Elephas maximus indicus: one gene and its partners. The protein of the gene in region 1 interacts with the protein of each later gene in a biochemical or structural test. Links are inferred from orthologs where the notes say so. Each region holds a gene or a part of one and is shown in the gene's direction. Other genes may lie near its edges. The genes, in order: general transcription factor II-I, USF1, BTK and HDAC3.

What was found.
Region 2: the proteins of general transcription factor II-I (region 1) and USF1 form a complex in vitro, tested with the Homo sapiens proteins (2 studies listed by BioGRID). The link is inferred for Elephas maximus indicus from reciprocal best matches to the Homo sapiens genes GTF2I and USF1.
Region 3: the proteins of general transcription factor II-I (region 1) and BTK form a complex in vitro, tested with the Homo sapiens proteins (4 studies listed by BioGRID and IntAct, with this or other methods). The link is inferred for Elephas maximus indicus from reciprocal best matches to the Homo sapiens genes GTF2I and BTK.
Region 4: the proteins of general transcription factor II-I (region 1) and HDAC3 form a complex in vitro, tested with the Homo sapiens proteins (2 studies listed by BioGRID). The link is inferred for Elephas maximus indicus from reciprocal best matches to the Homo sapiens genes GTF2I and HDAC3.

What each region holds. Positions count from the first base shown.
Region 1 is NC_064830.1:109,094,128-109,101,001, reverse strand, and holds the start of general transcription factor II-I, read left to right. Parts: upstream 1-3,868; 5' UTR 3,869-3,948; intron 3,949-6,874. UniProt on the Homo sapiens protein: Interacts with the basal transcription machinery by coordinating the formation of a multiprotein complex at the C-FOS promoter, and linking specific signal responsive activator complexes.
Region 2 is NC_064821.1:199,856,449-199,863,332, reverse strand, and holds the start of USF1 (upstream stimulatory factor 1), read left to right. Parts: upstream 1-3,878; 5' UTR 3,879-4,006; intron 4,007-5,875; 5' UTR 5,876-5,960; coding exon 5,961-5,968; intron 5,969-6,364; coding exon 6,365-6,414; intron 6,415-6,559; exon of another isoform or gene 6,560-6,561; coding exon 6,562-6,677; intron 6,678-6,884. Other genes in the region: ARHGAP30 (rho GTPase-activating protein 30), read left to right, coding at 1-266, 358-1,974.
Region 3 is NC_064846.1:56,724,213-56,731,543, forward strand, and holds the start of BTK (tyrosine-protein kinase BTK), read left to right. Parts: upstream 1-4,328; 5' UTR 4,329-4,472; intron 4,473-7,331. UniProt on the Homo sapiens protein: Non-receptor tyrosine kinase indispensable for B lymphocyte development, differentiation and signaling. Binding of antigen to the B-cell antigen receptor (BCR) triggers signaling that ultimately leads to B-cell activation.
Region 4 is NC_064820.1:154,963,407-154,971,031, reverse strand, and holds the start of HDAC3 (histone deacetylase 3), read left to right. Parts: upstream 1-4,624; 5' UTR 4,625-4,675; coding exon 4,676-4,730; intron 4,731-4,845; coding exon 4,846-4,928; intron 4,929-6,496; coding exon 6,497-6,639; intron 6,640-7,625. Other genes in the region: RELL2 (RELT-like protein 2), read right to left, coding at 967-999, 1,107-1,476, 1,783-1,968, 2,420-2,486, 2,567-2,632, 3,021-3,204. UniProt on the Homo sapiens protein: Histone deacetylase that catalyzes the deacetylation of lysine residues on the N-terminal part of the core histones (H2A, H2B, H3 and H4), and some other non-histone substrates.

The sequences.
Region 1 (6,874 bases):
GTGAACAATTTCACATTTTTTCACCACATCAAAGATTCTGCTTCTAGGTATGGCTGGCATCTGTCTCTCTCAAGCCCACAGTACCTTCCTACAGAATCAAAGCCTCTTTTCAAATTTATAGTCCCTGACAGAGAGGGATTACCCAGTAAGCAAGGTAAACACGGGCTTACTTCTGCTTATTTACTAATCTGTAGTGACCGATTTCACATGGGTTTGTGAAATTGGTTACAGATTAGTGAGTAAGCACAAGTAAACTGTGTTTACCTTGCTTACTGGGTAATCTGTCCCTGGCTCGAGGCAAGAGTGGCGAGTCTGCTCTTCCTGAAGCCTCAGTTTGGTGTATCTTGGTACATGCACTTTATAGAGTGTGTTTCTAGTGTTTAAAGGTCAGATGGACAAAGTGGCTTCAAGAACGGGCTCAAGCATAACAAGGATTGTGAGGATGGCACAGGACTGGGCAATGTTTCGTTCTGTCGCTAGGAGTTAGGACTTACCGGGACCTAGAAACAAACAACAAATTTTCCGTACTACACCATTCCTAAATACAGATTAACAATTTATTTTCATCAGTTGCTCAACCCAAAAAATAGCAATTTATTCTAATGTTGGAAAAAACCTGGCTGTGCAGAGATGGCATCCAAAGTGCCTATGACGAGGGCCACAATTAACGTTAGCATCCTTGCTGCTGACGTGAGAAACTGGCCAAGGAATAGCAGCAACGAATATTCAATAACTGCCTGGTCATGTGCCAAGACTTTAGTAAAGCCTGGAAAAGCATGACATTTATGACTGGAAGACATGAATTTAAGGGTTACACCCATCAATGGCTGTAAGCTTAAGAGAAAAAGGCTCTACATGCTGTTCAAATCACACTGTTGACCATCCCAAAAGGGACAGCTTTCTGACTAGAGACAATTCGAATCCAGCCAAAGTTGAGTTTCAGGAACTGCTTCAACCTCAAAGAATGGTTCCACTCTGAACCATTAAACAAATTCATAGAAAAGAAAGGGAATCGCTCTCAGACACGTTTTTTTTTTTGTTTTTAATTGTGATAAATACATATGTAACAAAACATTTGCCATTTCAACCTTCTCCACGTTTACAATTCAGTGACATTGTTTATCATGTTGTTCAATTATCAACAGTCTTCTCCAGATTTTTCCATTTTTTTAACAGCAGCTCAGTGTCCCCTAGGCAATGAGTCCCCCTTTTCCACTCCCTGGTAATCATAAATGAATGTGCCTATTCTAGATAGTTCATGTAAGTGGAATCATACAGTATTTGTCCTTTTGTGACTGACTTATTTCATTCAGCATAATTCTGACAATTAAAAAAAATTTTTTTGGTGACAATATACACATCAAAATAATTTCTACATGTTTTTCAGTGATATTGGTTACGTTCTTCACGTTGTGTCTACATTCTCGTTATTTCTTCCCTAGTTGTTTCACTGTCCCCTAAACTTGTCATCTATGCTTCAGGGTTACTGACTACATAAATTTTTTTTTTTTTAAAGTTCAGTAGGTACTTAAGAATGACATTTTTTGAGCTAAACTTTTTCGTTGTTGTTTGCTCGTTTAAAAATGCCTTCAGGGGATAGTTTAGGGTCAAGGTTTGAAGAGTATCCCAGGGTAACAGTCTAGGGTGTTCCTCCAGCCTCCAGTAAGTCTTTCTTCTCCTGACAATACTTTTAAAATTGTGCTTTAAGTCAATTTACAAATCAAGTCAGTCTCTCATACAAAAACTTACATACACCTTGCTGTGTACTCCTAGTTCCTCTCCCCCTAATGAGACAGCACACTCCTCCTCTCCACCCTGTATTCCCTGTGTCCACTCAGCCAGCTCCTGTCCCCCCCGGCCTTCTCATTTCGCCTCCAGACAGGAGCTGCCCGCATAGTCTCATGTGTCTACTTGAGCTAATAAGCTCACTCCTCACCAGCATAATTTTCTCTTATAGTCCAGTCCGATCCCTGTCCAGACAAGTTTTTAATGATGACAAGAGTAATCCTCACTAAATGAACTCTTGCCTGACTAATTCACTTCCTAATACTCTCCCAAACGCTCCTCCATGGCTCCGAGACTCCAGTGTCCAGTGACTAGTCCTTTCACAGACCTCAATCTCACAGATTTCCAATAAAGCCATCCCTCTGTTTCCGGGTAAAACATACTGATGCCCACAGCAGCTGAATGTTGGGGCCAAGTAGGAGGTTGCTCTTACCAGCCGAGTCGTAGACTTCTCACGAGTTACGTTTGTTCCTAAGTACACGTCAACCGCACGTGGAATTAGGATTACGGAATTTAATATTCTAAAATGTCAATGAAATACAAGGGCAGAAGGAGTGCTGCTGTTCTCAGTAAGCCCAATGAACACTTTGGAGAGCCTAGGCCAAGGGGAGTCACAGTCCAATTAGTCGAGGACAAATGGCTGTTAACAGGCTGTGGGAGAAATCCTTAAACTCTAGAAGGCTTCCGTAATCTGATCGCCTCGCAGCGTTCTTTCAAATTTTCACCTACTTTTAAAGAAATCCAACAAGGGACCTGTAGATGGGGCTTCACGGGTGCGGTCTACACACGAAGCAGATGGGGAACTCCAGTCTCTGAACGCAAACTCAGGCAAAGGCCTCCGGGTCACCTGAAAGGGCTGGCTGCTCGGCAAGTTCCCTCGCGAGCGACAAAGGCCGGGGCCAGCCTGGTGGTCGCTAGCCGGGGGCGGGGAGGGGGTCACACAGCCACTGGGTTTTCTGCCGGAAACACCTAAACCCGCCGGACTATGGCGTTTTAAGTGTAACTTCGGTGAACAGTCGCGTCTCCCCCTTTACCAAATTCAAGGACCTAACGAAACGCCGAGACGCAAAATACAACTTGGGGGGAGGGCTTTGCGTTCAATTGCTGAGCGGCTGACCCAAGCCCAACGGGAACTCGGTTTTCTGTCCCCACTCCACGGCTTTTACCTCTCGACCTTCCTTCTAAATGGTGCGCGAGGGACCGAGCAGGGCAAGCCGCGGCGGGGGTGAAGAACACAGGTCTCCTCCCCTCGCCGCTCCCAAGCCGCGGCCACAGTCGCTCTGGGTGGCTTTTGAAACAAGCTTGGGGAACGCTAACACGAGTCCTTTGTGTCCCGGAGGGTGGTGCAGGGCGGAGGAGCTCCCTTGGCCGAACTCGGAGGGCCGCAGGCCAGCCTGGAGCGCCCAGCCAGGGCCGGTTCCGGCCCCTCGGCCTGCAGGGCGCCAGGAGTAGGTCGGAGACGCGCGGCGGCCCGGCTGGAGCGCGGCGACGAGGAGGCGGGAGCCGCCCGGGGCCCCGACGTTCGCTCCCTCACCCCGCTCCCCTCCCCCACCCGTGCGGCCAGGCAGGCCCCAGGTGCAGCCATCTTCGGCTCCCACCACCCGCGCCTCCATTGGCAGTCCTTGCGGGAGAGGGCCGGGCGCTGCGTTCGCCTGCTCCTCGGGCTTGCCGGCGCGCGGCTTTCTGGGAGTTGTAGTCCGCCGCACCCACCGCCGCACGACTAGGGGCGAAGAAGAAACTACAACTCCCGCTGCGCAGCGCTGCCGGTGCGCACGCGCAGCGCGCCTTCGAGGAACAAAAAAAAAGGAAAAAAAAAAAGGAGGAGGAGGAGGGTGAGTGAAGCTCAGAGAGCAGAGAAAAGGGGCCACCGATCGCCCCCCCGTTTCCCCGCACGCGCTCTCTGGCCGTGATCGCCTGCCTGCCGCGGTCCCCCCGGCCGCTCCCTCTGTCCCCCGTGAGCGGATCAAGGCGCTGAGCGAGGCCCTGCCCGGGCGGCCATGCGGCGGTGACAGGAGCTCGGCCGAGACGCAAGGGCCCCTCGCCCTCTCAGCAGCTCGCCTCCGCCCAAGGCTGCTCTGCGGCGGCCGCAGTTCGCGCGCGGCCCACACCCGCTTCCCTTCGGCATTCCCGGCCCCGGCGCTGCCTGGAGGCGGCTGCACTCGGGTGAGTCCCTCTGGGCTGATCTCCGTCCCCCGCCCCCGTCCCGGGCGCCATTACGAGCAGGGCCTTTATTGGGTGCCTCCCTCGGGCTCTGCACGGGCGGCGGGCTGCGAACAGCGGTCGCCCGCCGGCGGACAGCCTGCGGGCCCGGCCCTGCCCCCTCCGGAGCGGGCGGCCGGCGGGACGGGGCGTGGGGGTGGGGAGCGGCCGCGGTCGCGGGGGACGACGGTTGCACGCGCGGGGGAGGGGCGCGCGGGGGCGGGGGCCGCACGCGTGAGCGAGGTCCGCGCGCGAGGGAGCGAGCGAGCGGGCGAGCCTGAGGGCTGCGCACGCCCCGCCGCGGTGATTGGCCGGCCGGGCGCTGGGGGCGCGCGCTCGGTGCCAGGCCCGAGCCGGTGGGGTCGCGCTCGGCGTGGTATCTGGGGCTCCTGCGCCGCGGCAGCGGACGCGCCCGATTGGCCGGCCGGCCGCTGGGGGCGGAGCCGCGCGCTGCCTGGTAACGGCGGCCGGCGGGCTGGCGTCGCCGCCCTGCTCGCGCCCAGGTGGGGCGGCCGGGGTGCCGCTGAGGGAAGTAAACACAATGGCCGGAAGGAAGACGCGGCCTCGGGGCCGGGGGCAGACCCGGTCCGGCGCGCAGACGGGCAGCGGGAGGAGCAGAGAAAAGGCGCCGGGTTTGTGTTTGAACCCCCTGCGTGCTCTTCGCCCGCTGCCCGCTTCTAACCGCGTTTCCTCCTGACGAGGCGGGCATCTCCGTCACGGGCCTGCCGGACACTTGGCGGCCGGGCGCCGAGGCGTCGGGTCCTCAGTCCCCTTCTCCTGGCCGCCCGTAGGCACCGGGCTGCGGACCACGGCGTCCTCGGCCCGCTGGGCCCCGGTGCCGGGCGCTGGGGACACACAGGGGACGACGTCGCCGAGGAGGCTTGTCCGCGGCCGCGACCAGCGGTTGGGGATGACCGCCCTTGTCTCATGCGGAGCAGGTTTGCTTCTGGTCCGCGCCTCCGCTTGGCCTCTGCCCGCCTGACTGGGATCTGGGCGCCCCGGGCCACGGACATGTCTCCTGGCGTGCAGTCGCCTCTTCACAGCCTTCTCTCGTCCGGTCTGGTCGGGCTTCTTTCTGCTTAACGTCCCGGTCAGCTGCGTTGTGCCTCCTCGGCGGCCGTGTCGCCCGCCTCCGCAGCGGCCGTGTCGCCCGTCGGGTTCCCTGTCAGTGTTGGCCTCCTGGAGGGGCCGTCTGGGTCCTTCTCCGGTTCCCGGCCTCCCTCCGCGCCCCTTCCAGCCTGCAGCCGCCAGCGGGCGTCGCGGGTAACAGTAACCATGGCTGACGTTGGGGTGTTCCTTATGTCACAGGCGTGGGCCTTAAAGCACCTCAAAGGTATTGCTCTTAGTTTTTATAACCCGTAATTCCCATTTTATAGAGGACAAATAAGCCTCGAGAAGTTGGCGGAATTTACCCTCCTTTACGCAGCCAGTAAAACTTCACGCCAGGATTTGCACACGGGCAGAGGTTTCAGCTCCCATAAACCTTCCCTGGGGGGCTTGGTGAGCACCCGTTGCGGGAGAGATCCCATTCGGTAGGTCTGGGGTGGGCCCAAGAGGATTTGCATTTTTATCGAGTCCCCAGGTGGTGTGGATCCAGCTAACCTAAGCAGGATTTCCAACTGTGATTTCTTCCATTTGAGTTCCATTCTGGTTCACCACAATTTAAAAAATTCTGTTCAGGTTTCACTTCTTCCATCGATTCGAACCGGTTCAAACCTGTTTCTTTTACTCTCCGATCTCCAATTTATGTTCTGCAGATGGCTAACCTGGAGCAGTTTCATCTGAAGACATATGGTTACCAAATTCATTCTTTAACATTGCAAATAATATTGTATTTTTATATTAACCTGAATTTCGTTCATCGCAAGACTTCGTAATTAGTTTTGAAAATTATTGTTGGTAGGTGCCATCGAATGACTTTCAACTATAGCAACGCTGTGTACAACAGAAAGAAAGAGTGTCGGGTCCTGTGCCATCCTCACAATCCTTGCTGTGTTTGAGCCCATTGTTGCAGTCATTCTGTCAGTTCATCTCCTTGAGGGTCTTCCTCTTTTTCATATTTTACCAAATATGAAAGTAGCAATGTTAAACTGTTTCTGTACATTCATTAATAATTTAAAGTGACAGTGACGTTCAGTCTTAATCACTGTCAAAATTGTTCAGTACAGAGAAAAAGTACGATGTAAAATATTTTTAATTCTAATTTTTAAAATACCCTAAAAGTCACTCTAGCAGTCACTTTAAAAATAGTTATGTGATAGAAACACTCCTAATGTACTGTAAAAATATTAAATTGAAGATTCAAAATACTGTTTTAGTAGGAAATTCTCAACTTGATATTATATAATACAATGAAAATACACCTAGTTTTGATATAGGCAACATTCCATTACTAACACTTTTAATAGTCATCTAAAATTGGTTAAGAATTTACTCACAAAATACTAGAAATACAAAGGGTGTTATTGTACCTAATACGTCAGTACATAAAGGCCAACCGCAATAAAACATTTAATATTTTAATATTCACCTTAGTTCTAAGCTGAAGAATTGTCGTATTACATAAAATAACATTTTATTACAAATATAGTTTTAATTTATAAAGTTTATGTAGAAAACATCATTGCCAGAAACCATAATTACACCTAATTAAAAGACTGTCCTTTAATATTGTTTCATTTAACCTATCCCTGTTGTCTCACAAGATGTATTTCACACCTGAGAAAGCTCTCTCAGCACTGACCAAAGTAGCTTGTGCACCCAAAACTACCATAGCGATTTCACAGAGCTGGGGATTTTTGGGTTTGGGGGGATATTGTGAACGGTTTTTTCCCCCAAATTCAAGAATATTTTTTTTTCCTATCAACTCTGCACACCATCAAAGCTTGTT
Region 2 (6,884 bases), on another chromosome or scaffold:
ATAAGAAGTTGGAGGCAAGTGCAGCTCCTGATTCCTTGGCTGACTCAGGCCCAGTGGACACGGCCCCTGCTCTGGAGGACTCCTTGTCCCAGGAGGTGCAAGATTCCTTCTCCTTCCTAGAGGACTCAAGCGACTCAGAGCCTGAGTGGGTGGGGGTGGAGGATGGGGATGTGGCCAAGGCAGGAGCAGCAGGAGCAGCTTTCTCCCCTGGGGAGGACGACCCTGGGATGGGCTACCTAGAGGAGCTCCTGGGAGTTGAGCCTCAGGTAAGAAGGAGCTGTGCTGGGTTTGGGGGTGGTATGGGGTCTCAGGGTGAGCAGGGCCACCTGGTCCTGAGCCACAATGCTATGCCTACAGGTGGAGGAGTTCTCTGTGGAGCCACCCTTGGATGACCTCTCTCTGGATGAGGCGCAGTTTGTCCTAGCTCCCAGCTGCTGTTCCCTGGACTTTGCTGGCCCCAGGCCTGAAGCAGAGGAGGAAAGTGGGGAGGAAGTCTTCCTGAGTGCCTATGACGACCTAAGTCCCCTTCTGGAGCCCAAACCACCGACCTGGGAAGGTCTAGGGAGTCTGGAGGCAGAGGCAGCAGGGTGTAGAAGACAGGCTTCAGGGCAGGCTTCAGGAGAGCAAGCATGCTTGGAAGTTGGGGAGAACAAGGAGTCTGAGCCTGGAAATAGATGCGACATGAGGGAGGCTGAGGGGAGTCCAGAGACCAAAGTAGAGGTTGGAGAGTCAGGTGAGGAAGGAGTGGAGACTGAGGGAGACCAGGATATGATGGCTAGTTTGAGAGAAGGGAGTGGGGAAGAGACAGAGACCAAGTCCAAAAGCCAGAATGAAGCTGAGAATATGGAGGAGGCTAAGGGTGTGGACGAATCAGGAGAAGAGCAGAGTAAAGACGAGAAGGAAAGAGAGACTGAGAGAGAAGAAGAGGCTGAAGGAGGAGACAAGGCCCAGGTAGAACCTGGAAAAGACCCAGAGTATGGGGCCCAGGAACACCAAGTTGCTGAGGAGAGCTGGGAAGTTGTACATAAACAAGAGGCTGAGGGAGGCAGGGAAGATGATATCAAAGGACAGAGTGGGGATGGGGGCCAAGAGGCAAGAGAAGACCAAGGAGATGGTGAAGACATCAGAATCCTAGAAGCAGCAGCTGGAGGAACAGCGGAGGTCAGCAAGGAATGGGAGAGAGGGGATGGAGGGGCTGAGGGAGACCAGAGGGCTGGAGGTGACCATTTTGAAGAAGGCTCTCTCCCTGAAGGGTCAGGTGGAGAGTCCCTGAGCATTGATAGTGCCAAAGGGGGCAATGCCCAGTCCTTTGAGGAGGAACAGGCAGCCCCACAGCCACCTCTGCCAGAGGAGATGGAGCCTGAGGGGCAGCTTAGTCCAGAGGGCTGTGATCTGTGCCCCTGTCCCCCTGGCTTAGCTGGTGGTGTGGGCATGCGCCTGGCTTCCACCCTGGTTCAGGTCCAACAGGTCCGCTCTGTGCCTGTGGTGCCCCCCAAACCACAGTTTGCCAAGATGCCCAGTGCACTGTGTGGCAAGATCCATGTGGCACCTGCAAACCCATGTCCGAGGCCTGGCCGGCTTGATGGGACTCCTGGGGAAAGGGCTTGGGGGTCCCGAGCCTCCCGCTCCTCCTGGAGGAATGGGGGCAGTCTTTCCTTTGATGCTGCTGTGGCTTTGGCCCGGGACCGCCAGAGGACTGAGGCTCAGGGAGTTCGGCGGACCCAGACCTGTACTGGAGGTGGGGACTACAGCCTCATCCCCAGAACCACCTACGGTAGCATGCTTCCTGCCTATTCTCACCGGCCCCTTAGCTGCCTGGAGCACCCACCTGAAGGCACAGAAGGATCTGAATCCCGGAGTCGGCTTAGTCTGCCCCCCAGAGAACTCCAGCCCCCTGACCCCCTTAAGCCCCCCCAGCGCCGATCGTACGCATTTGAAACACAGGGTAACCTTGGGAAAGGTGAGGAACTGTGATTAGGACCTGGGCAAAGGGGACCAGTAAGCTGTCTTGAATCTCCAGGGTCCCTGACGAGCTGTAGAGCCTAACTCTACAGGCTTTGGCCTCTTGCTTCTCTTTTTGACTGTGGGAGGCCACAGGTTAGTTCGTTTACCTGAGCTTGTCTAAGACAGAAAGCACTTATCCCTTAGGAGATTCCTAAGAAAGTTACCAAGATCTGGTTCCTAGGGAGTGGGGTTATTGGCTAAAGGGAACATAGCCGGTGCCATTGAGTCGATTCCGACTCATAGCGACCCTATAGGACAGAGTAGAACTGCCCCATAGCGTTTTCAAGGAGTGGCTGGTGGATTTGAACTGCCAACCTTTTGGTTAGCAGCTGAACGCTCAATCACTGCGCCAAAAGGAACAGATGTGGGCAGAAAACTTAGAGGTTTTTCAAAGTGAAGAATGGAGGGGGAATTCCAGCCAAGTTCCTACTCTCCTCTGAGGCTGTGAACCTTCATGAAAGCTTAAGGTGAGGTGGGGAGGACAGGGCCAGGTCAGAGCCTATCACACACAAACATTTTGTGTTGCCCACCCCTGTTTTGTTCCTGGACCCCTGAATACTTCCTGTCTGAGCTTCAGATTAGGAGTAACTTATTCAGGAAGCTCTTTGAAGGCTTCAGTGTTTGTTGGGAGGACTGACCATCTTTCCAGCTCACCCACCTGCTGTCTCCAGTCAGCTTAAAGAAGAAGGGGTCCTGTATAGATCTCTCTGGCCTCTCCTTTTCCCTTTGGGATAACTTCCTCTGCTTCGGTTAAGATTTACAGCCTTGGAAACTCTATGGGGCAGTTCTACTCTGTCGTCTAGGGTTACTGTGAATTGGAATTAACTCGATGGCAGTGGGTTTGGTTTTGTTACCTTAGGGAAGGGGAATGGGGCCACTCAGGTCCTGGGGCTGCTTTTCCAGACCAGCTGAACCACAGATCCCACTCTAGTAAGTGGGGGCTGTCTCAGAATAAAAGTTGTATTTTTACATGTAAATAGTGTGAAGTCTCATTATTCTTACTAAAGCCGTGAGTGGTATCATCTCTTCACATGTTTGGGCAAATGTCTTTTTTTCTTTGCTGTTTGTTCTTCCTCAGATGTTGTCATGGAGACCTGTGGCTAGAAACTAGAGCTGAGTTCACGGTGGTCAGGAAAAGGGGAAGAGAAATTATATTTACATAATGCTCATTCTGTGCCAGTAACTGAGCTAGGTGTTCTACGTGCATAGCATCTATGCCCTTGACTTTATTTAAGCCACATAACAGTTCAGAAGGTTGACACTGGTGTCTACTCTTTACAGATGAGGTAACTAAAGCTTAATTAAGTTGCCCAAGATCTCAGAGGTAAGAAGTGGCAAAAGTGGGTATGAGATCTGGGTTTGTCTGGTCCCAAATCAATTAAGGGTTAGGTCCTGGCTAGTTGGAATGGGAATAAAAATTCCTTTCAAAGAAACTGAAGCCTTGGGTCTTTAGGTAAAGGACGGCTGACGCTAATACAAAGAAGTATGCCTAGTTAGCTGTCTTAATCTTCCCGTTAAGAAACACTTCAAACAGATGCCCTGATCCAAGATGGCCTCCCAAATGAGCCTTGTTAAAGATGGCGTCTCGGCCGGACTTCCCTCTCTGACCTAAATTGGCTCCCTCACTACCTTTTCCTGAGACTAAAAAATGCACCGCCCAGCACAAAGATGGTAGCACAAATTAGTCGTCTTTCTCCCATTCTTGCTGAAAACGGTTACGACTTCAGTGTCATTCCGACAAGATCCCAGGAAATGGCACCTTCTCGGTCCAGAGACACTCCAAACACCCCCGCATCCCTCAGCCCTCACCCAGGGGGAACGAACGGAAGTGGGGCGGATCAAGGGGCTGAGTCGGCTGGGCGGGTCGAGAGAGACACTTCCGCCCCTCATCAACATGGCTGCAGGCTGGGAGTGCGCATGAGCGGCTGCCCATGGAGATACCCGGGTCCGGAGGGGGGAAAACACTGTCGGGGAAAAGCAGCGCCTGAGGCGGCCTTGCCCGGTGAGTGCAGGACCAGACAGAAGTCGGGACACTGGGCGGACGGGCAAGGCAGGGCAGCTCTGGTTTGGTTTTAGTTTTCTGGGTTAGGGAACTCTTGGGTAGGAAGCCTTTGTTTTGGGGGAGGGGGCTCGCCTGGCTCTTTATCTCCTACCCCCCTTTGTGGGCCGAGCTCGCTCTCCGCCCCCGAACGGCGCGCGCCCCGTCCTGCGATGCGCGGCCGCGGGCCGTAGCGGGGGGCGCCGAGCGGCCGAGTCCGGGCGGGGACCGCGGGGCCTGCCGAGCCCCTGGCGCCCTTCCCTGCCTCCTCTGCGGAGCAGCCGGGGCGCGGGCTGGCGGCACGGGCCCCGGGGCTCGCGCTTGTCGTGCGCTCAGCTCTGTAAAGCGCCTCCTGGCTGGTGGGCCTCCGGGAAGATGCCGCATTCCCAGGCAAGGTCTCTGCGCCTGACTTCTTTGACGACTTGCCTTTTTTCCCTTTGTGTCCGGACTTAGCGAGGGATCTTGCTGGTCGCTCCTTGTCTGAGCGTGCACGCCACAACATCCTTTTCCTTTGCCGCGTCGCGTATGCCTAGTGCTCAGGAAATGCTTCCTGATGTCCCACTGAGATTTGAATCAGCAGCCTGACCCCGTTGCTGGTGCCCTCAGAGGCTGCCCCTAGCTGACAGCTGTGGATGATAGAGTTGCCTCCTTTCCTGGTGCCCTGCCCTCTCTTTCATTGCCGCCTCCTGCAGTCAGCGCAGCAAGCCTCGGGAGGGGCACCTCCTCCTCAGGTTTGAGGACAGAGGTAGGTGGTCCCTAGGTACTAGTGTTATTTCCACTTAGGGACTGGGATCTCCTTGCAGTATTACTTCCTCTGTCGCTTTCACTTTCAGTTCCTTTTTTTCAAAGACCTATTGACACTTTCCTTAGACACTGGCTTTCCAAAGTGTAACCGCTGAAGATTTTCCTTAGATTTGGGGAAACCTTAAAGGTAGAGAGTTTACAAAAATCTTGTTTGTTTCCTGTTCGGATTATCTTTTTGCCTTGCGCTGTGCGGCTGTTTTTTTCTGGAGGCATTGGTCTGCTCAGCCCGTTGTTTTTCCTGCCCTCTGTCTGGGTGTCAGGGTCCTAAGGATGGCACCTTATGAATGGATTCCTCCCCCATTGTTTCTTCTCCTTCAGAACCTTGAGCTTCCAGCTTTTTTCCTTCTTGCTGAGCCTCAGTTGAAATTTGGAGTTGTCATGGCAACATGTTAGCAAATGTGTTGTTTCACAGGAAGCCTTGGAGAATAAAATAGAGAGGTCTTGAAGATGCTGCATTTGTGCTTTAGGGTCTCTAACAGAAGACATGTATCTGAACACCCCAGAACAAGAGCTCTGTCAATAGAATGGGCCTTAAGGGCCAAGTCTGGTCTTTGTGGTTAGGGATGGTTTTCCAATGGCAATGGGCTTCATGCCATTGAGTTGAGAATAGAGATCTCTTGGTGTAAAGTATACATCTAAGAAGTTGAAAGAAGCATCAGTGTCCATAGCCCTGTGTTTTTTGATAGTGATAGTCTAACAGGGTCTAATCCCTATGAAGCTGCGGTCATGGCAGGTCATAATAGCTTTAGTAATAACCCATCCAGGTACAGGATGTTTCTCAGTCTTCCAGTCCAGTAATCCCCTCTCCACCAGGAGTTGGAGTTGTCGTGGAGGGGTGAGGAACACTATTTGTACGGTGGCTTTTTCAACCATTGTAGCCCAGTCCTCAGCATCAAGAATGGGGGAGGCTTACTGTCCCCTGCAGACGATTGGGTTATGTTCCTGGCTGTATCTTTATGGAGCCTAGTTCTAGAACCAGGAGGCTGTTGAGTTTCCTAGACTCACTGCAAACTCCCTGATTTCTACCAGGATTTAACACACAGGGCTGTGAGGCAAGACATACAAAGACCTCCAGAGAAGGACCAGTTCCTCGGATGTTCCCCCTCACAGAGAGATGAAGGGGTAAGTGAAGAAGAGGTAGGATCTGGGACAGAAGATGGGTGGCCTAGGAGAATGGCAGACTGGATAAGAGCACTGGCTCTGGAGTCAGGCAGATCTGGATTCAAGTCCCAGTGCCATCGCTTATTAGCTGTGTGACTTGGTTTCTCCATCTGTAAAATGGAAGTGGTGATACTTATAGGGCTGTTCTTAGTATTAGATAAGATAGTCCATGTTCAGTGCCTAGCTCAGTGCCTGTGCCCATAGTAAACACTCAGTCAATATTAGCTGTTGTTATTCCAGTCTAATCTCGCATCTGGTGCGAATGCCACTGAGTTCGGGAGCCATATGTTACTGGGTCAGTGAGCTTCTCATTCATTTCTTTCCTTATTCTTCCTTTTGTCCCTTCCTCACAAATAGGCAGCAGAAGACAGCTGAAACGGAAGAGGGGACAGTGCAGATTCAGGAAGGTGAGTGACAGAAATAGAACCAAGAGCCCTTCCTGGTCTCTCCGACGGCCTATCTCCTGTGCACCCTCCTCCTATGAATGACGTACCAGTGGAACAGAGGGAGAAAGGCAGCAGCTCACAGGCCCTTCCTTTGCTTTTTTAATTCAGGTGCAGTGGCAACTGGGGAGGACCCAACCAGCGTGGCTATTGCCAGCATCCAGTCAGCTGCCACCTTCCCTGACCCCAACGTCAAGTACGTCTTCCGAACTGAGAATGGGGGCCAGGTAAGGGAGGGGGCCAGGTTGCTGCAGGTGTGACCTGGGGTTGGGATTGAGGGAGGTAATTGAACATGTCTTGGGAGACTTGGCTTGGAGAATGAGGTGAAGATGTGGACTGTTTGGGGGATGGAGAGGTTTAGAGTAGAAATTAATGTGGGCCAGGGGCTATGCTGAAACTTCTGTAAGGGAAAGGAGGAGGAATGGCTCAATCTG
Region 3 (7,331 bases), on another chromosome or scaffold:
GTTCTGAAAACTGACAATGAAATTGTTCAGCTCCTGCAACAGCAATAATGAGGCCAAGAGATGAAAAGTAGCCAGCAGCTCTTCCTTTCCCTGAATACCTGGCAGAAGACATATACTAGGTTTCAAAAGTCTAGTAGCGAAAGACAAAAAAAAAAAAAAAAAAAGACCTATTGCCTTCCAGTGGATTCCAACTCATAGCGACCCTAAGGAGCAGCTGGTAAATTCCAACTGCTGACCTTTCAGTTAGCAGCGGAACTCTTAACCACTACCCACCAGGGCTCCACAAAGAAAGACAGCAGGGTTATTTTGAATTAAGTTCTTACTGTAAGCCAGGCGGAGCCCTGGTGGTGCAGTGGTTAAGAGAGACAGCTGCTCACCAAAAGGTCGGCAGTTCGAATCCACCAGCTGCTCCTTGGAAACCTATGGGGCAGTTCTATTTTGTCAAATAGGGTCACTATGAGTCGAAACCAACTACATGGCAATGGGGTTGTTGTTTTTTTGTTTTGTTTTGTTCTTTGGTATATGCCAGGCCGGGTACTAACCATTTAAAATGGATTATTATATAATTCTCACAGTAGTTCTAGGAGGTAGGTGGTATTATTATTTACCCATATGGAAATTGAGGCTGTAGGATGTTCAACAATTTGCCCAATGTCGACAGTATTTAATGGATCCAGGATACAAACCCAGGTAATCTGACTTCAGAGTATGGGTCCCTTTACCATTATACAGTAATAGTTATAACAGCTAATAGTTTACTGACATTTTCAACTGTTTGACACGCATGGGAAAGCTTGATAATGAATAAGGAAGACTGAAGAAGACTTGATTCCTTTGAATTATGGTGTTGGTGAAGAATACTGAATATACCACAGACTGTCAGAAGAAAGAACAAGTCTGTCTCGGAAGAAGTACAGCCAGAATGCTACTTAGAAGCCAGGATGGCGAGACTTCGTCTCACATACTTTGAATATGTTATCGGGAGACCCCAGTCCCTGGAGAAGGGTATCATGCTTGGTAAAGTAGAGGGTCAGTGAAAAAGAGGAAGACCCTCAACGAGATGGATTGACACAGAGGCTGCATCAATAGGCTCAAACATAGCAACTATTGTGAGGATGGCGCAGGACTGGGCAGTGTTTCATTCTGTTGTACATAGGGTCGCTGTGAGTCGGAACCGACTAGACGGCACCTAACAACCAAAACAAGATGAGGCTCTCAAAACTGAACACATAATTCTAAATGTGCCTTGACCATGCAGTAAGTAGCACATTGACTTTTCTGTGTACGTATTTTACGTCTCCAAGTGAAGCCTATTGTCACCTTGGCTTTCTGGCAGCCACGTCACTGGCTTGACATTTCACTTGATTACTAGTAGCAAAAACCCCTGAGCCATATTCACAAGTGTTACTGATACCCCACTTTCACCTGGAATCTTTGAGGTTTAATGTTGGGCCCAATTATGGGACATAACCCTTAGCCCTGGTAAGATACATTTTACTGGATTTGGCTTATCACTACAGGTGATGAAGATCATTTTGAAAACTAATTATTCTGATTCCACCATCCAGTCTAGCTCACACGGCTCTGCACAATGGACAAATTAGCTAGGCTACTTTCTATATCTTCATTTCTGTATCTTCTATACCTTCCTAAAGGTCATCAATAGAAATGTTGAACAGGGCAACACCAAGAATAGAACCTTATATTACATTGGGAATCTTTTGAGGTGACACTAGGCCATTCATTTGCATTATTTGGGTACAGTCGTTGTTCTGTCAGTACAGACAAGTGTGTTAGGGGAGCAGCTGTGGGGCAGAAGGCGAGGAACAGCCTGAAATTTACATTCCCCTTTCTCCTGTCCTCCACTCCCTTGTCTAGATCTCCCATCTTATATCTATCAACTCCCAGTCCCCACCCAAAAATGGACCTTGAGAAGGGACAGGGCATGTGACAGTAAGCAGCATCTGACTAAAGAAAAAGGGAGGGAAGGAGGACGAATTTCTTTGGCCAGTTCACAGGCTGGCAACTGGAGCAGCTGTTCAGGGGTGACTAGTGAAAGGATATAAGTTATCAATAAAATAGGGAGATCATGCAACACTTGTACCAAAACCAAAAAAAACCCCACTGCTGTCAAGTTGATTCTGATTCATAGCGACCCTACAGGACAGAGTAGAACTGCCCCATAGAGTTTCCAAGGAGTAGCTGGCGGCTTTGAACTGCCAACCTCTAGGTTAGCAGCCATAATGCTTAACCACTACACCACCAGGGTTTCTTATCTACTTTGTGCAGATGTGTGAATTAACTACTCTAACATCCTACAAATGCCATTTTTTAAAGCCCTATTGATTTAAAGGGTGTAGTACTAGAATTCTCACTTTCTATTCAGACCTCAGTTCGATTCCCAGACAATGCACCTCAAGTGCAGGCACCACCTGACTGTCTCTGGAGGCTTGAGTGTATGATGCTAAAAAAAAAGGTTTCAATGGCGTTTCCAGACTAAGATGAACTAGGAAGAAAGGCATGGTGATCTACTTCAAAGTGTATTCAACGAAAACCCTATGGATCACAATGGTCTGATCTGCAATGTAGCAAGTGGATGGTGAGGGCCCAGGCAACATTTCACTTCATTGTGTCAGGGACTAACTCCATGGCAACTAACAACAATATTGATTTACAAATTCTGCCAGGCTTATAATGGGATCTGGGATCTGTTTCTACATTAGGGTATGGTGCTGTCTTAGTCATCTAGTGCTGCTATAACAGAAATACCACAAGTGGGTGTCTTTAACAAACAGAAATTTATTTTCTCACAGTTTAGTAGGCTAGAAGTCCAAATTCAGGGCGCTGGCTCTAGGGAAAGGCTTTCTGTCTGTGTTAGCTCTAGGGCCCTGGGGGAAGGTCCTTATCTCTTTTCAGCTTCTGTTCCTTGGCTCCTTGGTGATTTTCATGTGGCATGGCATCTATCTTCCCCCATCTGTGCTTGCTTGTTTCCTTGGTTAATCTGCTCTTCTTATATCTCAAAAGAGATTGATTTAAGACACACCCTACACTAAAACTTCCTTATTAACATAACAAAGAAAACTCATTTCCCAAATGGGATTATAAGCATAAAGTTTATAACATACGTATATTTTGGGGGACACAAGTCAATCCATAACAGGTGCTTAACCAGTAAACTAGTTGCTGTCAAGTCAATTCTGACTCATGGCACCCCCATGTATGTCAGAGTAGAACTGTGCTCCATAGGGTTTTCAATGGCTGTGACTTTTTGGAAGTAGGCCACGAGGCCCCTTTCTTCTGAGGCACCTCAGGGTGGATTTGAACTGCCGACTTTGGTTAGTAGCTGAGCACTTAACCATTTGCGCCACCCAAGGGACTCCTATTTCTACATTAGTGTACAGTGCTTAGGAACAAGTAGATATGAGAGTACCAGATGTGTCAAGGTAGGAAAGCAGGTCAGTCACCAGGGCCTCTGCTGCCATCACTATCTGCAGCCAATAGTGGCTGTATTTCCAAGGAGAATCCTAGGGGAGACTATTGCAGTTGAAACAGGCTAGGAGGCCGTTTAGAAAACATCTAGGCTTCAAGTTGTGCACCCAGTCTGGTTTATCACTTCATAGGATTAAAGGGCAAAGTGTAAATTAAGAGTTAATTCCTGAGGCCAAATCTTAAATGGAGAAAATCAACATTCACAGGAAATGGGAACGGGCACAGGGCACAAGCCCTTGTTAGGGCTTACATTCTGACTCTTTTATCTATAGAAAAAAAATGCTTTCTTAGAAAATGACTCAGCAGGGGGAAGTCTTGTCTCCACCTCTGTCAGGCTCTGTACTTTGGGGTCCCTGTGTGAGCACTCTCCATCCTTCACCATCAACTCTACCTGTGTGGCCCCAAGTCTCCTCCACCTCAGAGGACATGAGCCTCAAAAGACACTCTTCCTCGGCATTCCCTTCCTCCTGTCTCAGCCAGTCTGTGCAGTTCTCCTCTTTCCTATATGTCTCCACTCCCTGTGCTAACCATCCCCACAGTCCTTCCGGCATGTCGTCCCTTTACCTTGGGGGAGCTCGGCCTGCCCACCCATCTGCTCCACCCAGCCCCTTCTAGAGTCTCAATGGCCACAGTCATGTTAAGGAGGGTTCTTTCAGAGCAGGAAGCATGATAATCACGTTGGAGTTTCCAAGCAAATGAAGGGCGGAGACGGCTGCGGGGGGGGGGGGGGGGTGGAACAGGGACAGCAGCAGGGAACCAGATACCATGCTGCTAAGAAGAAAAAAAAGACATTGGTTTAAGTCAGGAAACAAAAAAAGGGAACTGAGTGGCTGTGAAAGGGTGGGGTTTGCTCAGACTGTCCTTCCTCTCTGGACTGTAAGAATATGTCTCCAGGGCCAGTGTCTTCTGAGATCGAGTCCCACCTTCAAAGTCCCGGCATCTCAATGCATCTGGGAAGCTACCTGCTTTAAGTCAGGACTGAGGTGGGTCTGGGGCATGGCAGGGGCTGGGAAGCAGCAGCAGTAGCAAGTACCTTTCTGGGGGCCCTTGAAGGCCAAAGAGAAAGCAGGGCTGGTGCCATAGAGTCGGCTGGCGGAGGAGGCTGCTGGGCTGGGGGGTAGTATCTTCAGCACAAGGTCTTGGCAGTCCCTTCTGGTGATCAGAAGGGGCTTTAGGGGTCTTTTTTAAGGAGGGATATGGTGGGGAGGGGCACAAAGAGAAAAAGGTAACAAGAGATGACCGTCTGAACAGGTATCCAGTGTTGGAAAGGGGCGCCTCTGCAAAACTTGGCGGAAAAATAACACCGCAGGTGCCAGTGGGATAAAAATAAGCCCTTTGGTCAAATAGTGCTTGAAGACTCAAAATGTAGATTTGTGTCAGCGAAGCCCTTAGAAGAAGTTTTATGAGGCAGATTCTCTGAGAAAACTGTCAAAGTTCACATGCCACAATAGGCAGTTGACCTTCGTGAGCGGGGGAAAAGCTAACTACGTAGAGCTGCATCAGGCCAAACCGGGGCCTGGGACCGGAGCTGGCTTGTTGGAGGGACTGTGTGGAGGCTGAGCCAACCTCGTGGTAATAGGGGGTAAGAGACTTGGCCAGAAGAAGGCAGCCTTAGCCTCAGCCCAGACACTGTGTGGCCAAACCCTGAGGTCGTGGTGAAGCTTTCTCCTATTACTACTGCCTACCATGTGCATGGCCTTCTTTTCTCTGGTCTTCATTATTTCCCTCCTCATCTTCCACCTTCTTCTCTTCCTCCTCCTTTCTCTACCTATCTCCCCTCTTTTTTATACCCTCCTGTATTTTGTTCATTCCTATATCCCCTGGCACAAAGTCAGCACTTAATAAATGATGCATTGGATTTTTCTTGCCCTTTCCTTCCCCTACTCTTTTCCCTTTACCCTATTTGCCTAGTACCTTCCTCATAGGGTTGTTGCGGGGATTCAAAGTGTTAATATATGTAAAGCAGTTAAAATAGGACCTAGTACATAGCAAGTGCTATCTCTCAGTGTTGGCTATTATTTTTATTCCACCTGAGATCTGCCAGTGTCCTCAGAGGGCTCTGCTTAGAGCGAATGAAATGACATTTAGAATATAAGAGATTGCTGACCCTGTTGAAAACGTTCTTGGATGAGTTGCTGGACCTCCAGCTGGAATCCCAGTGCGATTTCTCAGCCACCAATTCTCCAAGCTGGAAGTCTCTAGTCGGTGCTGTGCGTTTCCAGAGGCAGGGCAGCAGCAACATCCTGATGTTGGGAGTCTGCACAGCTCAGAGGCTGTCCTCTGTGCTCTTAGTTGTGTATTAGTTCTGCTCCTTGACTCATTTTGCATGCCAAGCCCCTGAAGCAAGGGTGCTATGCCCTCTCCGAAGCTTCAGTTATTTGATAAAACAATGTCACCCTCCAAATAAGCCACAAAATGCAAATGCTCATGGAAACCTAAAGCCGCCAGAAACGGCACCCCTTAGGGCTAGCCCTATATGCTCTATTCTGACCCCTTTTATCATCACACTAAACTAGCTGCTTATTTTAAAGTTCAAACTCATGTTGCTTATAGCTATTGATGTTTTGGTTTAGAATCCTTTGTAAATTCTTCATGGTGAGAACTGGTGTAACTTTCTACCCACTTCTAGGATATTGATGACAATCTTAAATTACCATCACTATGATTTATTATTTCCATTCTGGCAAGTTTCCTATAAGAGTTTCCTTTCAGTGGACTAGACCCATACCAGGAAGTGATTTAGGTATAAGGGTAAGATCCAAAAACCAAACCTGCAGCTGTCGAGTTGATTCATAAGGGGAAGATATGGCTTATGAAAACCCAGGTATGGATGTTCTCCAAAAAGTCCTCAGGTACCTGCCACTTTTCCCCAATGATACTCAGATCTGATTGGCAACTCCTGGGAATAAGAGTGAGCTAGAATTTTCAGTGAGTCAGTGCTCAACAAGAAGCTACAGAAGAAACCTTGACCTATTTTCCCCTGAAGCTGCTTGGTTATGCAAATGAAGCCAAGGGAGGGGGAAAGAGAACTCCTCTGAGGACCCTGAAACAATTGGGCCACATGTGACTTTCAGTTTCTATGGAGATTTAAGTGCAGTGGCTGAGTGTGTTCAGAGAGCTTTGGGAAGCTGGAAACCTTAATATGCCGGGTTTAGGCTGGCTCTCTGAAAGCCATCACTAGATGGCTGTTAGGCTACTGTTGGTTATTTGAACCTCAATGAGAAGCTCATCTTACTGGCCTGCCTCCCTGAAATGAAAATAAACTGCATTTTATTAGCTCACCCCAGAAGAAAATTTTAGAGAGCCAAGAGAAGTAAATTTGAGACAAGTTAGAGGTTGGAACGTACTGGAGTCCAAGATCACTGCCTCAATGGAAATAATAGATTAGTCTGCAAAACACTGAAGTGTGAACAAAAATAGGGAAATGAATTGGTTAGACATGGAGCATAAAGGAGTTGAGAGTGCAGGGGTAAGGGGACTCTCAAAAACTGCTATTTGTTGTGGAAATTGGTACAATGTTCCAGGAAACCATTTTGACAATATGTAACAAAATGAAAAAATACACGTACTTTTTTGACTCAGTAAATGATGCTTATAAAAGGATAAAATACGACCAAACCCGTTGCCATCGACTCATGGCAACGCCATGTGTTACAGAGTAGAACTGAGCTCCGCAGGGTTTTCTTGGCTGTAATCTTTACAGAAGCAGATTGCCAGGCCTTTCTTCTACTGTGCTTCTGGGTGGGTTCAAACTGTCAACCTTTCAGTTAGTAGCTGAGTGCAAACCATTTGTGCCATCCAGACACTTCAATGATGCTTATAGAGAAATCCCAATAACATGG
Region 4 (7,625 bases), on another chromosome or scaffold:
CCATTTCTGGGGCTAGAGCCCACTCCTTTTCCTCCGTTCCTCTCCTGCAATCTCTAGGATTGGAACTACCCCTTTCTTTTCCACCACCACCCCATCTCCAAGGCTGGAACCCCTTCTATCCCACTCCTGAAATCTCTGGGGCTGGAACCTACCCTCCTCAAATCTTGAATGGCTCCGCCCATGTTTGTCTCCACCCTGGGTCTGTGCCCCACCCCATCCTGGGTACCAGGGCCACTTGGGCTGGGGGCAGGGACAGAGTCAGGCCTTGCGAATCAGAAGGAGCTGGAGCCAGTATGCAAAAGCAGCTGTAATGGTCTGAGCGGATTTATTGACAGTGAATAAAGGGCAGGAAGCCCAAGCCAAGCCTTGGCCTCTTGCGCCAAGAGGGCAGGGGGCCTAAGGTGCTATTGCTTTAAGGGCCCACCAAAGGCAGGGGCCTGCTCCCAGCTGCCACGCTCTAGCATATGGAGTGAGGTGTTAGGAAGGCAGGTCAGGTGGCCTGTTGGCAGGCAAGGGAATGGGAAGAGACTGACGGGTGTATTGAGGGCTACTTCTGAGGTCCCCCAGCTTGAGACCATGAAACTCCAGGTGGAAGTAAGGCTGGTCCCTCAGCTGGGGGCAGTGCTGTCCAGTGGAGGGGAGGGGCTTCATGTCCACCCACCCCGGACTCTGCCAGCTGGTAGTCCATTCAGCAGCAGCGAAGAATGAGGCTTGGAAGAGAGGGAGGGTAACAATGTTGCCTTCTATTTAAGGTCTGTCCCAGTTTTTTCCTGGTGACACAGGACCCCTTCACTTCCGGGTTCCTGAATCTACCCCCTGAAGCACATGCCCACTCCCCACCACCAAACCAAAAATTTGTAGCAAAGGCTAAAGCCTGCAGTTCACCTGGGGGTTCAGGGAGCTGACGGGCTTGAGTGGGGGGTAGGAGGATAAGATTCACTGCCCTGGGTCCCAGGCAGACTCACCTCACATACCCCCTGCTCCCCGTGGTGGGGACACCTGAGAGAAAAGGGAGGGGTCAGCAGTGGAAAAATAGTCCCCAGAGTAGGGGACAACAAAAGCTCAGTCTGCCACATCCCACTGAAGCCCTGGCCATGTCTTCATACCTGGTGATCTGAGATGTCCAGTTTGGTTGCTTTTGCCTCTTGACTGGGCAGCCCCGGACTTGGGCCCCTGCCTCCGGCCCCCAGCACCAGCTCTGCAGAGGCTCCAGGGTTCCCCTCAAGTGCACAAGGTACTATGCTACTGTCCCTGAGTCCTCCATTCTGCACTGGGGGGCTGGCTAGGGCTGGGGACTGTGGCCTGTTAGGGGGCAGTCTCTCCATGGCAGGCATCCCTGCCCTGGGCTGTCCTCCCCCAGATCCCTGACTGCCCCCTGGGTCCTGTCCCCCACTAGAGCCCCAGCTCCTGTCTGTTGGGGAGCCATCACGATGCTCATGCAGCCCATGGCGTTTCTCAATGTGTGTCACCCGAAACCTGGGAGGGGAGGGAACACTGGAGCTTAGGACCACAACTGAGAGGCTTCTTGCCCTCCTCTCCAATCAGGGACATCCTGGGTGTGATGGCCACTTCCCTCTGGCCTGGGCAGGGGAGGCCTTCTCAGACTTTGGGGTATATTGTGCAGCCTGACCCTGCTGCAGCGCCCAGTCCAGGAGAAAAGAGCCAGGGAGGGCCCTTTGGAGATCCTGCATGGAGTCCCACCAGGCCCACCTTTTGAGTTAGATGCCTGATCACTGTGGCCCCCACCTCTACCTCCCTTTCCCTGGAACACTGTGGCCCCACCTGCCCACAGAGAACACGGTGGTCTCTCCAGGCCGGGGTCGGCTCTTTCCTTCCTTGGAGCGGCCCTGACGGACAAGTGGGGGCCTCTTGCTGCGGCTGCAATGGATGCAAGGGGCTGCAGAGCCCAGATGCACTGTGTGATGGTGGGAGGGGGCTCCATCCTGCAGGCTGGAGGTGGCATCCACGCTGGACAGGAAGGAGGAGAACAGGGGTGACATTCCCATCTCCCTTCCTGTTCTGTTGCCTCCTGTTCTTTCAGCATGCTCGTTAAACCCCCAGATATCCCACTTCCCCAAGACCCCAACATTCTTTTCTTGTCTTTGTGTAATAAACTCAGTATTAAGATGTCAGTGACCATGCATTCTCCCTCTCGGGACTGTTTGCCAGAAAGAGAATAATGGTTAACCCAAAGGAGTGGCATTAAGGGTGAGTGTTAGGCTTGCCGATGTTCAGGTGGGAGAGATGGTTTGAAGGACCCTGGATTTCTACAAAACTTTTTACCTATAGGTGAGCCAACCTTGCCATCTACTTCCATGCCCCCACAAACATGCAAGGAGACTGGGAAAGAATTGTGCTGGAGGAGAGTACTTTCCAAGGCAACCAAAGCCATGCTGGACCTTATTTCCAGGCAACTCACCTGGACAGCTGCACTGTCCCTTCTCCTTCACTGTCCCCCAGCATCTCCTTCAAGGCCTCAGCATTGGCTGAGGGGAGAAAGAAAAGATGGAGTTAGTGGAGGTCAGGGCAAGAGAAGGGGGTGGGGAAGGAGTCAGCCTACACCTACCTTCATTTTGGATGATGCATCGAACAATCCTCTCTACTGTGTCCTCATTCATGTCATCCTCCTCAGCTGAAGGATGAAAGAGGTTGGCAAGGAAGAGAGAAAAGAATCACTTTGGGGGGGGGGCATTACCTGGTGGTTCCTGTGGCTTACTCCTCAAAACATATCCCTTAATCTATTTGCTCTCATGCTGGACTTTAGCATTTCAGGAGCCAGGCCAGGGAAGATGGGGAGGTCAATGGGAGCCAAAGACCTTCCTCCCCATGTTGCCTCCTCTAGTCTTGCCTTTAGGGTGGTTTCACCCCACTTGCTGACTCAAGGAAGCATCACTAGGCCTCCTGCAGGCTTGACTGGGATCGGACCTAGGTCTGTTGGCCAGGGAAAGCGGAAAAAGATGTGGGGAGAAGCGTTTAAGAGAGAAAGATGGCTGAGCCAGGGTTCCCGGCTCCTGACTCACGGGACTGGAGCTGGGCGTCGTCAGGCTCCGAGCCCCTCGATGTGCGGCAGCGGTAGCCCTTCTTCTTGAGCACGTGGCAGATCATGAAGCCTACGAGGCCCATGAGGAAGAAGACCAGCACAAGCAGGAAGAGCATGTACAGCTCATGCTGGGGAGGCTCCAGGTCAGGCTGTGGTTCCGACATGAGGCCCTGGGGGGCGAGCGCGGGCCAGGGCGCCTCCTGGGGGGAGGGGGCTGCAGCTGGGGATGTTGGGGAGGGGTAGGAATGCCTCAGATTCCAAACTGGCAAGGCTCAGAGATCCGGTCCCACCCCCTACCCAACCAGGGAGCTGTCCGGGCCAGGGGTGCTGGTGCGCCAAGAGCTGCCGGGACGCGGGGCCAGACAGCGGCTGCGCAAGTCTTCTTCCACGACCCTGGTCCCGCTTCCCCGACGCCCGGAGCTTTCCCCTTTCCAGCTCGTCCCTGCTCTTCCGTCCCTCCCAAGGACACTGCAGCGCAAGACGGGACGGAATTCTCAGGCGGCGGGCGCAGGAGTCGCGCCTGAGTCAGCGTTCGCACCCGCTCCGCGCCGGCCTGGGCCCGGCCTCTGCAGCCCCCTCCCCTGCCTTCCTTCCCGCACCCTCCCTTTTACGATTCCTTCCACCCTGAGCACCTGGCCCACCCAGTACCGGTGGTTCGGTTCTGGCTTCGGCTCGGGTTTCGGCTCCAGGGGCGTCCTAGTCCTGCTCGGGGCCCCCGACGCCCTCCCGGCGCTCATCCCTTGTTTCCTTCCCCTCCCCCTTCGCCGCCTCACCGGCTCCGGGCTGCGGCTGCGGCTACCGGTGCAGCGGCAGGCGGGGGGAGGGAAGGATGGAGAGGGATGAGGGCTGGCTGGGAGCCGCAGCAGGCTTCAGACAACTCCGGCCCTGGGAAGGAAGGGGGGTGGGAGGCGCCGCCGCAGCAACCCCTGGGTTTCCAAATGCCTTCGCCCGCCGCCGGCCCGGGACCGGGGGGCGGAGCGCAGGTGTGCGGAGCGGAGAGCTTGAGCTGTGCGCGCGTGTGTGAGCGCAAGTGTGGTGCGCGCGTGACTGGCTGGCACCTCTCCGGGGGGAGCGCGGCGCCGTCTGAGTCCGGGTCAGGACAGGCGGCCCGGCCCGGCGGGTGTGCTCCCCTCTGGTCTATCCCGCACGCCTGGAGAGGCTCCTGTCCGCAGATGCCCTAGCCGGGCGGATAGCCAGGGATCTCTCCAGCGGGCAGGCAGAAACCGGTTTTCTGCACCCGAGCGCGGCGGCGTGGCTGGTTCTCCAGAGCGTACTAGCGGGGCGGGCGCGGAGACCACGGCCGCACTCTCCTCTGGGGCAGAAGGCTGGACTAATGGCTCGGCTTCACGAAGATTTGGCCCCCGCCCGGAAGGAAATGACCCTCCCACGCTGAGACCGAGGTTACTTGTCCAGCACTCGAGCCGGGACGCTTACACCCAACCCCCAGGGGCCTGGCCAGCCGGGGGAGGGGCGGAGTCTTGCAGGGGGTGTGACCTGGGCGTGGTCTCACGGAGGCGGGGCCTAGGCCTCCCAGTTCCGCAGAGGCGGGCTGCGTACATACGCAGCACGCACGGCCGGGGGCGGGGCTGGCGGCCGGGCGGGCGGCGGAGGCCGGGGCCTGGTCCCGCGGTCGCCATGGCCAAGACCGTGGCCTATTTCTACGACCCGGACGTGGGCAACTTCCATTATGGTGAGGGATCAGGGTTGTGTGCGAGGGGTTTCAGGGCGCAGAGGTTTCGAGGCAGGGGCTGCAACTCCGGGGGTGGACACTGACGAACTCTCTTCTCCCCACCCCCATTGCCCAGGGGCTGGACATCCTATGAAGCCTCATCGCCTGGCATTGACCCATAGTCTGGTTCTGCACTACGGTCTCTATAAGAAGATGATCGTAAGTCCCGCTGCCTCTGCCATGTGTTAGGGGTGGGGCGAGCTGTGGTCTTAGGGCTAGGTGGGCTGGACTGAATGCACCAGGTGCGATCTGCATACGAAAACAGGAGCGGGGGGGTGGGGGGCGGTGTAGCTGGACAGAAGGCACGAGGAGAAACCTCCCTCCAACGTGTTGAGGATGGTGTTCTCTGACTTAACGGGAGTTACTTTTTTCACTTAAGGTCAGCCACCCTTTGGCCCCAAGTGGACCAGCCCTTGACCTAGGGGTATGGTGGGGTGGGGCTGGGTTGAAGACCTGATGTTTTCATCCTTAGCGTCTTAGTGTGTGGGTAGTGCTGTGGCCTTAAGGGTGGGGGAGGGGCTGGACCACTGTACCTGACTGTGGGGTTTACCCTCATTTCCCACCTTTTCTCCTCATGTCCTGTTTCTTTCTGGAAGATGTTAGAGCTCTCGAGGGAGGGCCCACCAGCCTTGGGTGTAAATGTGTATGCGTGTATGGAGGGAGACAGGAGACATCCTGGGTATCTCCTTTCTAACCTAGAACGCTGCTACTCAAACCTTCATCTCCCAGACATCACACACGCTGCCCCCAGCTTGTAATTTATAGTTGTGATTTGGCGGTATAACAGGCCTAACCCTTATGCGTTGTGAGGGGAATTGGCCAACAATATGAATGAGTGTCCGCTGCTTGTGCTGAGGCACAGTCAAGTGGATTGGTCATAGAAAAGACTGAAGTGATGTTAATGCACGAGTCAATGAATTCCCTGAAATCATTTGCCTATATATACCTGTGTGCATTTTCTAGAGAGAGAAAAACTGCACTGTTCTTGCCCAGTTTCCAAAGGGGCATGTGAGGTACCCAAAAGATACTAAATCTCTGGTTTAGTCCTTTGGGTTTTAATTAGAAGGTGGTCTTTGACTCTAGAATGGGAGAAGGGAGGGGATAGCTGGATAGAAGACACCAGGAGTAACCTCCCTCCTTCTCCAGAGTGTAGAGGATGGTGTCCTCTGACTTAACGGGGGTTACTTTTTCACTTCAGGTCAGCCACCCCTTGGCCTCAGGTGGACCGGCCCTTGGCTTAGGGGTATGGTGGGGTGGGGCTGGTTTGAAGACCTGATGTCTTCATCCCTAGCATCTTAGTATGTGGGTAGTGCTGTGGCCTTAAAGGTGGGGGAGGGGCTGGACCACTGTACCTGACTGTGGGGTTTACCCTCATTTCCCATCCCTTCTCCTCGTCTCTTCTTTCTACCTGGAAGATGTTAGAGCTCTAGAGGGAGGGCCCAGCAGCCCTGGGCTGGAGGTGGGAATGAGGCAGGAAGCCCGGTCAGGGGGCTCGATCATAATAACCCACTTGGCTCATCAGAGCCTGTTTTCTTCAGGCGCAGAGTGACCTTTGCCTCACAGAATAACAAGGATTGGTGTGTTGTGATGTGATGTCCGTTGCGTGTGGTGTGGTGACTGCTGCGTGCGGACTTGAACAATTGCCAGGGTTGGGTTCAGTGTGAGTGGTCTCAGCCCCGTGAGTGGGCATGACCCTGCCTGGGTTCATCTTGTGTCTCCATCCCGAGGTTTTCAAGCCATACCAGGCTTCCCAGCACGACATGTGCCGCTTCCACTCCGAGGACTACATCGACTTCCTGCAGAGAGTCAGCCCCACCAATATGCAAGGCTTCACCAAGAGCCTTAATGCCTTCAATGTGGGTGATGACTGGTGAGGAGAGGACTGGGAATTTTGATGCTCGGCACTTCAAAAGGGGGAATTCTTGCACGAGATCTTGTGGCAACAGCACTGGAAAGCTAAGAAGAGGGCTTACTTATCAGTGAATCACCACTTTCTCATTTGTTTATTCAGCAAATAGTTATTGATCATTTGCTATAGGCCAGATCTGGTGCTAAGTGCTGGGCATACAATGATGAACAAAAATGAAAAAAGCTAGGAGGTGGGAATAAACAATCGTGGAGCTTGCAGTCTAGTGGGAAGGCAATCATCTAATCTATACATAAATTTAATATTGTGGTTGTGCCAAGTCCTATGCAGGAAGGGGTACATGACAGACTGTGAAAGCGTATAGTTGGGAGAATAATCTAGTTTAGGAGGAGGCTGGTCAGGGAAGACTTCCTAGAGGGAGTAAAGAGAGGATTGAACTGACATCTGCAGAAAGAGCAGGAAGTGATTAGGTGAAAGGGGGTTGGGTGGCTGGAGGGGGAGAGAGCATATGGTGGGCAGCAGGGACTATATGTGTTAATGGTCTCTGGTAGGATAGAGTATGACTCATTTGAGGGACAGAAAAAAGGCCGAGTGCTGAATATGAAGAGGAGAGTGATCTGAATTGAGGTTAAAAGAGACAGGCGTGGCCTGACCTTTTAAGCAGCCCTATCATGCAAACCCTGGTGGCATAGTGGTTAAGAGCTGTGGCTGTAACCAGAGGTCAGTGGTTCGAATCCACCAGGCGCTCCTTGAAAACACTATGGGGCAGTTCTACTCTGTCTTATAGGGTTGCTATGAGTCGGAATCGACTCGACGGCAACGGGTTTTTTGGATTAAGTAGAGAGGGGCCCTCGTGGTGCAGTGGTTAAGCACTCGGCTGCCTGTGGTTCAAACCCACCAGCCGTTCTGAGGGAGAAAGATGTGGCAGTCTGGTTCTGTAAAGATTACAGCCTTGGGAACCCAATGGGCCAGTTCTATTCCATTCTATA